Linked DNA regions of Kluyveromyces lactis. The main gene of each other region encodes a partner of the protein of the gene in region 2 in a complex. Links are inferred from orthologs where the notes say so. Each region holds a gene or a part of one and is shown on either strand. Other genes may lie near its edges.

What was found. Proteins that work in one complex are often made in the same cells at the same time.
Region 1: the proteins of RSA1 (region 2) and HIT1 are in contact, whole or in part, in an NMR structure (PDB 2MJF), measured with the Saccharomyces cerevisiae proteins. The link is inferred for Kluyveromyces lactis from reciprocal best matches to the Saccharomyces cerevisiae genes RSA1 and HIT1. Residues at the interface, in NP_015131.1 of Saccharomyces cerevisiae: Glu320, Asn321, Ser322, Gln323, Leu324, Leu325, Asp326, Phe327, Ile328, Arg329, Glu330, Leu331, Gly332, Asp333, Val334, Gly335, Leu336, Leu337, Glu338, Tyr339, Glu340, Leu341, Glu345, Leu349, Phe350; in NP_012589.1 of Saccharomyces cerevisiae: Asn71, Lys72, Thr73, Leu74, Lys75, Thr76, Phe79, Tyr83, Leu89, Leu93, Asn96, Thr97, Lys99, Phe100, His101, Leu102, Ala103, Val105, Tyr106, Leu109, Asp124, Lys127, Glu128, Ala130, Val131, Leu134, Asn135, Arg138, Phe151, Cys152.

The regions. Positions count from the first base shown.
Region 1 is NC_006039.1:1,271,964-1,275,486, forward strand, and holds HIT1 (Hit1p), read left to right. Parts: upstream 1-1,767; coding exon 1,768-2,265; downstream 2,266-3,523. Other genes in the region: PIB1 (phosphatidylinositol-3-phosphate-binding ubiquitin-protein ligase), read left to right, coding at 252-1,232; KLLA0_C14586g (Brix domain-containing protein), read right to left, coding at 2,557-3,523.
Region 2 is NC_006041.1:1,720,532-1,724,849, forward strand, and holds RSA1 (Rsa1p), read right to left. Parts: upstream 2,245-4,318; coding exon 1,216-2,244; downstream 1-1,215. Other genes in the region: KLLA0_E19295g (uncharacterized protein), read left to right, coding at 1-519; KLLA0_E19317g (uncharacterized protein), read left to right, coding at 799-1,197; pyruvate transporter MPC1, read left to right, coding at 2,995-3,369; DDC1 (Ddc1p), read right to left, coding at 3,568-4,318. UniProt on the Saccharomyces cerevisiae protein: Involved in a late nucleoplasmic step of 60S ribosomal subunit assembly.

The sequences.
Region 1 (3,523 bases), on a different chromosome or scaffold from region 2:
CTGTCTAATTGTAGGTAAAGTATTGTTTCTCACCTATTGTTTCCTCGATTTCATGGTTTTTTTTCAGAATGTATGCTGCTAACATTAGGAATTTGTCAACAGAATCAGTTTTATAACAGAAAGCACATCATTTTAAGGATGAGATCATGAAAGCACAATAGTGGCTGTAATCAATTGTCCAAGACAGTAGAGCACTCTGTGAACACAGCAGGTTATTGGCTGCTACATAGAAAATCAGCTGAATTTTTGACATGACTACTGGTGCTCTGGTGGCAGGGCACGTCGATGGTGAAACGATGACTGTCACTGGTTCTTCGGATAATGCAAGGAGAGACAGAGACAGATGGCGGAATGGTAATATTTCCAGTCAGTTTGTGAACGAGTTTGGCGAGTGGGAAAAGGATGAGAATGTGACGCAGTGTCTAAGTTGTGGGATCAAGTTTAGTTTTCTAGTGAGGCGTCATCACTGTAGATGTTGTGGCAGAATTTATTGTGCTACTTGTTGTTCAAAATTCGCATGGTATGATAAAAACCGGGTTAAAGTGGTTTTGAAAAGTCCAGCAGAGTATGAAATGGAACCGTACAGGACTTGTGATTCCTGCTATGAAAATCTATTACAAATGAAGCTACTGAGAACTGCGTGGGGTGAAATACAGTTACCGAAACCACCAAGACGAATCGGAAATTCTATGGGATCTACTTCCGAAATCAACTCCATCCGATCATCGTCCATAAGGCCTTTTGAATTTATGAAGAACCAAAACGTTGTGGAAAATGTACGAGAAACTGAAAGCGAGAGAAATAGTCCCAGGAATATACATGCTGCTGATGAAGATTACGATCGATGTCCAATTTGTAATTTTGACTTACAAGTTTTCGGATCAGAAGAAGCAGCCCAACAAGAACATGTAAGCGAATGCATACGGCAAGCAGAACTTGCTCAACAGCAGCATAGTCTTATCGGAAGTCCAACTTACCAGAACAGAATGCTCGTATACCAAATACCTAAAAACGCTACGAATATTCAAGAGTGTCCAATATGTTTCGAAGAAATGGCTCCAGGACAAAAAGTCGGTAGGCTAGAGTGCCTATGTGTGTTTCATTATCACTGTATAAAGAGTTGGTTTAAGAAGAAGGTACAAAAATTAGCTACGGTGAATTCCGCAACTCAGGACTCTGTCTCCATGCTTGGTAAAAACTACTGTCCATTTCATGACGCAGTATACTACTAATGTGCTTTTTAAGCCGTTTAATATCCAATACTAATAACTACCTAATACATAATTTGCATACAGCACAAACTTGCATACAATATCACATATATATATACCTTCGCTTACTATAAAAGCCACTTGCAGTTACTTGTCCGTCATTATCTATCACTTGACCTAAAGAAAGTCAAAATGTCCCGAGTGTTCCAATTTCTTTGGTCCTTTTGGTTTGCCTGCCAGTTTACCACACTACCCTCCTCCACTCCTCCTTACTGGCCTGGCTGACTGCTTAGTAGACGAAAAGGATGGCGAAAGACATGTGGGAAACAGGATGGCAACACGACACATATGAGAAACAGATGCGAAACACATACTTAACGAAATGTAGCTTTGGGCTGAAAAGAAATTAAAAGAGACTCTTAAACTTCACGTATGCAATGTAATGTATGAGTGATGATGAGATGAGATGAGATTAAGAATAAAAAGATTGTGGGATAACAAGCTACTTTGGGAGACGTACAATACTATACCGTGTGAGGTAAACTAACTTTGTGTCATGGTTAAGTGTGAGGTTTGTGGTGATAAAGAAGCACTTTATAGATGTCCAAAATCATCGGTTAGGTATTGTTCGTTAGTTTGTTACAAGAACATAAAGAAGTCAGAATCAGATAATGTAGAAAGTAATAAGACTGATCCAGAATCTAACAGTACTACCGTGAAGGAAGCCGATGATACCGTCTCAGTTCCTGGATCTCAAACTGATTCAGTCGAGTCGGTGCCTACTCCGCTTAATAAATATCAATACGCTTTGACTGACAGCCGTATCCGTGAGTTGTTAAGACACAATACAGTTAAATTCCACTTGGATAAAGTTTACAAGATTCTTAACGTCAGTACTGTCGGCGGGTCATCGGATGCTTCCATGACTTCGGATATGAAGCGTGAACTTGCCACGGATTATCTCAATACATTAAGGACGGGTGGAATTCATTGTAATGAGGCAATTGAAGAGTTTTGTCAGATATTCTTAGAATTACTGCGAGAACATATCTAGATTTGTTCTTCTCACACGTAAATTGCATATGAGAACTTATGTAGTTCTTTATTTTTAATTTTAATATTAGCATCAATAGCACAATGCCACTGTTCTCAGTTATCGGTCAATCGGTCGACCGGAAAATGTTTATATTACATAGATGCATTCTAAAGATTAAAACAGTATATGCTCTTTGGGCTATTGCTTATCTGTTTATACTAACCTATCTATAACGTGCGCTAATGGTACTCATTCGGCAGTATTTTTGCGTTTGTATTTCTTTTCCAACCTGCAGTGGGAATTGATCTTTTAGTCAGTTCCTTCGTCGATATCGCTGTATAGATCGCTATCAAGGTCTTCAGGAACATCACTATAGTTGTCCTCGCTACTTGACTCTTCCGAATCAGATGAGTCAGAATCAGAATTATCTTGCCCTGATTCAGCTTCTTCTCCATCTTCGCCATTAGCCGCAGCCTCTTCTCTGGCCTTTCTTCTCTCCAGTTTCCTTTGCTTCTTTGCTTCTTTTGCAGCCTTCTTTTTGGCAATATTTTCTTCCTGTTCCTTCTTTCTTTGTTCCTTTAGTCTCATCTTTTGTGCATGTCTCTTTTCCAAAGCTTTGATTTCCGAGTCAGACTTTTTAACATACTCGTGATGTAGGACTTTACCGGCACAGATACCTTCTTCGATTTTAACCAGTTTCAACGTCAATCTTGGTCCGATTTCTGTTAGCTTGATAGCTTTCTTTTTTGGTTGTTGTGTTGAGTGCTGTTCTTCCTCTTCCTGTTCTTCTTTAACGTTAAGGTCCTCCTCTTCATCTTCATCATCCATTTCTATGTCGTCATCACCATCAGCAGATAGCCTGGCTGGTTTTTCACCGGTATCCTTATTTACTGAACGGTGTGGTATATGCTTAATGTGTTTGTGCTCTTTGTCCATTACTTTAACGATGGCATCTTCTTCAATCTCGGACTCAGAAGTGTATGCTGCAACGTCGTGATCCAGTATTAACGAAGCGATATCGTCCTTTCTATGCAAATTCGGCACGGCTTTGCTTAGCTTCTGTTTTGATTTATATAACTTCTTCAAATTCTTAGAAAGATCCACCTCTCTTATATCTATCGCATAATGTCTTAACGATATTTCACCTGTAGTCTGGTCTTTATTGATCATGAATACTCTGTTTATTGAGTTCAATTGAATTTTGGCTGGATTCAAAGGTGGGAAAACATTTTGAAACATGGAAACAATAACTTTTTCGACATTAGCCTTTTCCTCG
Region 2 (4,318 bases):
AGGTCAAGTGACTTTCTGGACTCCATCATGCAGCATGTTTCAGACGAATCTGATTCTGAGAACGCATGGTCCAAGGCAACCGATTGGAACGAGGAAATTAAAGTTGAAATTGGCAAGGAGGATGAAGTTGTTGCTGTGGTAGATGATACTGCGCCAACGGTAGCACTCAAGCCAACCTCTGACCCCAGTACACTGAGCTCGTCCAAGGAGTCGTCTGTTTCTGGTAACTCTCACTCTCGTGCATGCATTTACATCAACAGTGACAGCGACAGCGACAGTGGCTATGATGACCATACTTTTATGGATCCAGAGAAGAAGCACCATCACTTCAAATGCCGCTATAAGAGAGGAAGAGGGAACAGATCAAGGTGGTCGACGTTTAGGGTGAATAAGGCTAAGGGGAAGAAATTTGGTAGAAAGAGAAGATTTGACTTATATAGTGGTTCATTAGGATTTATGTTGGGTTCCATTGGTACTTTGGGAGTTTTAGCTACTGTTGCAAATTTTGTCGAAGGATAAGTTTGGATTGTTCACCCAGCTGATAAATATCATTGAATGTTCCAACCCACACTCTCATAACAGTTTTTTAGAATGCTTTATTGAAGATATCAAAAGTATATATTTTGTTATTATCTATATTATATGTGATACCTCATGTCTGAAACCCAAATGAAACATATAAATGCTTGAAAACTTGAAGAGAAAAGGTCTTTATAAAGTGAAAATAGGGAAAGGAACTAGAATAGGCATCAATTCGGATTAAAAACTACACTCCCGGAGTGGTCAGTAATCCAACTCATGCAACTGAGAATGGTTGCTTCAAATAATGGAATGTTATCAAATCAAGATGAATCAACTTTTATTGATGAGCCCGCCATGAGCACTGATGGTACACAGAGAATACTACAAGTCAGTTCCCCCAAGATCGATACAGATAATCACAATATAGAGTACGAGAGTATTAAAAGCAAGGATAAGAAGAAACATAAGAAGAGGAAGAGCAAGAGGCATTCTAAAGGAAGACACAAAATGAAATATCGAGTTGACAAACCTCGGTACCACGATGATGCAAAATATGACGCTGATATTGCTGACAATAATAACGGAAAGGCATTGAATAAATTCTTCCCTGGTATCTTAATAGGAACTTTCATTGGTTCAGCTGTCACTAACTTTATATTGGAAGGGTTAAAGTAGTAAGCAAGATTTCCTTTTTCAAACCTCATCAATCGGTCTTTTCCTTGAATGGTTTCGGTATTGAGTATCACGTTGATTGAGTTGCCTATCATACCTCCTATTGGAGCGTCTATTCTGGTCATTCTTGTGATCTTTGCCTCCAAAGAGCACCTCTTTTTCTTCTTCTGTAAGTTCATATTTGAGATAATTGGCATCACCAAGTTCTTTGATGAAATCCAAGATCTTACCGTTTTCCTCTTTTAAGATTCTCTGATGAAGACCTATCGTCAAGTTTGGTTTATAATTAAACCTTTTAACTTGGTTTTGTATATTTTGAATAAAATAGCGCTCCTTTCTAGACTCCTGGAGAGGATTACGATTCAAGTCTTCGTCCTTGACGTTAAACTTTTCTCTGTACATTTCTTTCTTATTTGAAATCTTTATTAACCACATCTTCCTTCTCTCTTCTTTCCATTTTGCGATATCCTCCTCCGTTTTAAGCACTATTGAAGTTCCAGGTATATACAGATCTGATCCTTTGACGGTTTCTATGATATCTTCATCAGCAGAAGCTTCTTCTTCTTCTTCATCTTCTTCTTCTTTCCTTTTATCATCTTCATCACTTGCTATTTTATTCTCAACTAAAGCAGAATTCCTCAAATTGGTATTGGCGAACTTTTTGATAGGACCCTTCTTGGGTACTTCGATTTTGTCGTTTGCCTCTAAATTTGACTGTTGGTGCTCTATCACCTCTTCCTCTTCTTCTTCTTCCTCATCATCATAATTGATCTTGCTTGATTTTGTAACATCCACGTATGGCGGTTGCGCTTGATTAAAACCATACCAGCTCTGTTGATACTGGTGCGGATTCGGATAGAAAGGATGGTGGGTCCCATATCTCATTCCCATTGGTGCATGCTGCATAGCGGGGACACCGTATTGGTTGGGTTGATTCATCTGAGGTATCGGATAATACTGCATTCGCGTGGTTTGTAACGTATGTTGCAAAAGATTATTATTCACAGATCCGCCCTGTGAAGAGTTATTGTACACGTTTTGACCATTCATGTTGCTCGAATACTCTTCCCTGGGGCCTTTCTTCCCATCATATTCATTAATTGAACAGATAGAGATGAGATGAGATGAGATGAGATGAGATGAATAGATAATGAAAAGAAATTTCCTACGTTCACATACATAATGTTCTGGAGAAAGGTGTTGAAGTTTTAAACCGGTAACTGATGCTTCGTAAACCGTGAAACATATTCTGAAATATGTAACAGTCAAACAGGCTCATAAGGGTCCCCGCAAGTCATTCCACTGGTGCTATAGCTTTTACGCAGTGTCATCTATATCACGTGACCTTACTGATATACGTCTTCTTATTACCAATCATAAGAGAGACGGATTTTGACCAAGTTAACCACTGAGAGTAATCAGAAATCTATCCCCCAATATGTCGGCTTATAAGTTGGTGGTTATGCGGCCCCTCCATGTATGTAGTTTTATACCTCTTACTTCCATCAGCTGTGCAGTGGGTAGTCTCTCACCAACGGGTTTACCAGTGAAAATCGTATTGCAGCGGTGAATTTTTCAAGCTTCGAAACCTTGAAGACTTTTAAAGCTCAACAAAAATGTTTAAATGTTTTCAGAAAAGATTTAAAGGTACATTGAAGAACTTCTTGGTACTCGATCTGAGTTATTAGTTGGCCTCTCGTTTTCCCATTCATTCATTGTTATCCTTCTTTTTTTAGTTTGGTTTACGTTAATATTAACTCAGTAAATTATACTTCGGCAACAGTTTATAATCCCTGAATCATGTCCCAACCAGTACAGAGAGCTGCTAGTCAATCTTTGATTTCCAAATACATTAACAAGGAAACTTTAAAGTATGTCTTCACCACACATTTCTGGGGTCCAGTTTCAAACTTCGGTATCCCAATTGCTGCCATCTACGATTTGAAGAAGGATCCGGAGATGATTTCTGGACCTATGACGCTGGCTCTAGTGATGTACTCTGGTGTGTTTATGAGATATTCCCTAGCTGTTACCCCAAGGAACTTCTTGTTATTCGGTTGTCACGTTGTGAATGAAACAGCCCAACTTGTGCAAGGTTACAGATATTTAAACCATCATTATCTAGGTGGCAAGAAAGCTGACGCTACTGACGCCAATGTCGCCAAGACAGCCTAGATGCAAGAGAAAATGTAACCTGCCGACAAAACAACATTCTTTCTCCCATGGCTTAGATTACACTACTGTGTAGGTCTGTTATCTAAGATTTAATGCTAAGTTTATTTACGTACTGTATATTATATGTCTATATGTTCAATTACAGTTTATGAATTCATTTCGAAATGAAAAATAAAGTACTTCTTTCGTTCTTTATTATCAAGAGTCGAACAAACCTTTAGGTCTGTCAGCTTGTGTGGGACCCATGCCATCATCTTCTTCCTGTAGATTGAGATCTTCTTGGATTGCTTGTCTTTTCAAATTATTTAGATAAGCAGCCTTGTTCATTTCTCTTTGATGAGATTCATCTGTACCGACATTGTTCGATTCAATTGTTCCTCCCCATTCGACAGTTGTTCTCATTCTCTTTACTGGCTCGCTAATTGACGGCTCGGTTGTTGTGTTCGATGGTGTTGACTGGGAGCCAGTGTTTGAATTGGGAGTAGTGTTACTATTTTGTTTCCCCCACCTTTTAAACCTGAATTGCCTTCCTTCTTCGTCTTCGTCATCATCATCTGCTCCATCCTCATCCGTTATAAATAGTGAGCGTTTTGTATGTGGATACAGCATCTGCTTACTTTCCGGCCTTTGAAGCTTATCTGGTTTCACTACGGTATCCTTCTTGATTGGTGAAACTATCTTTTCTGGTGACAGGTTAAATTGGGTGACAGAATCCTCTGGTTCTTCGACCCTACCCTCGGTATCAGTTACCTGCACTAATTCCAATACAACCCCATCTTTTGTTATTTCAAAGAGAATGGGGTCACCAGGTTGGCAAAACCAGATTCTTATCATGTCATTTGTTTTCCAACAATTAAGTCCATTTAAGAATACTTTGAAATCTCGTAATTTGAACGTAATGCTCTTCTTAATACTTTGTGATCTGCTTGAAGGTCTCGAACCGTCGTTT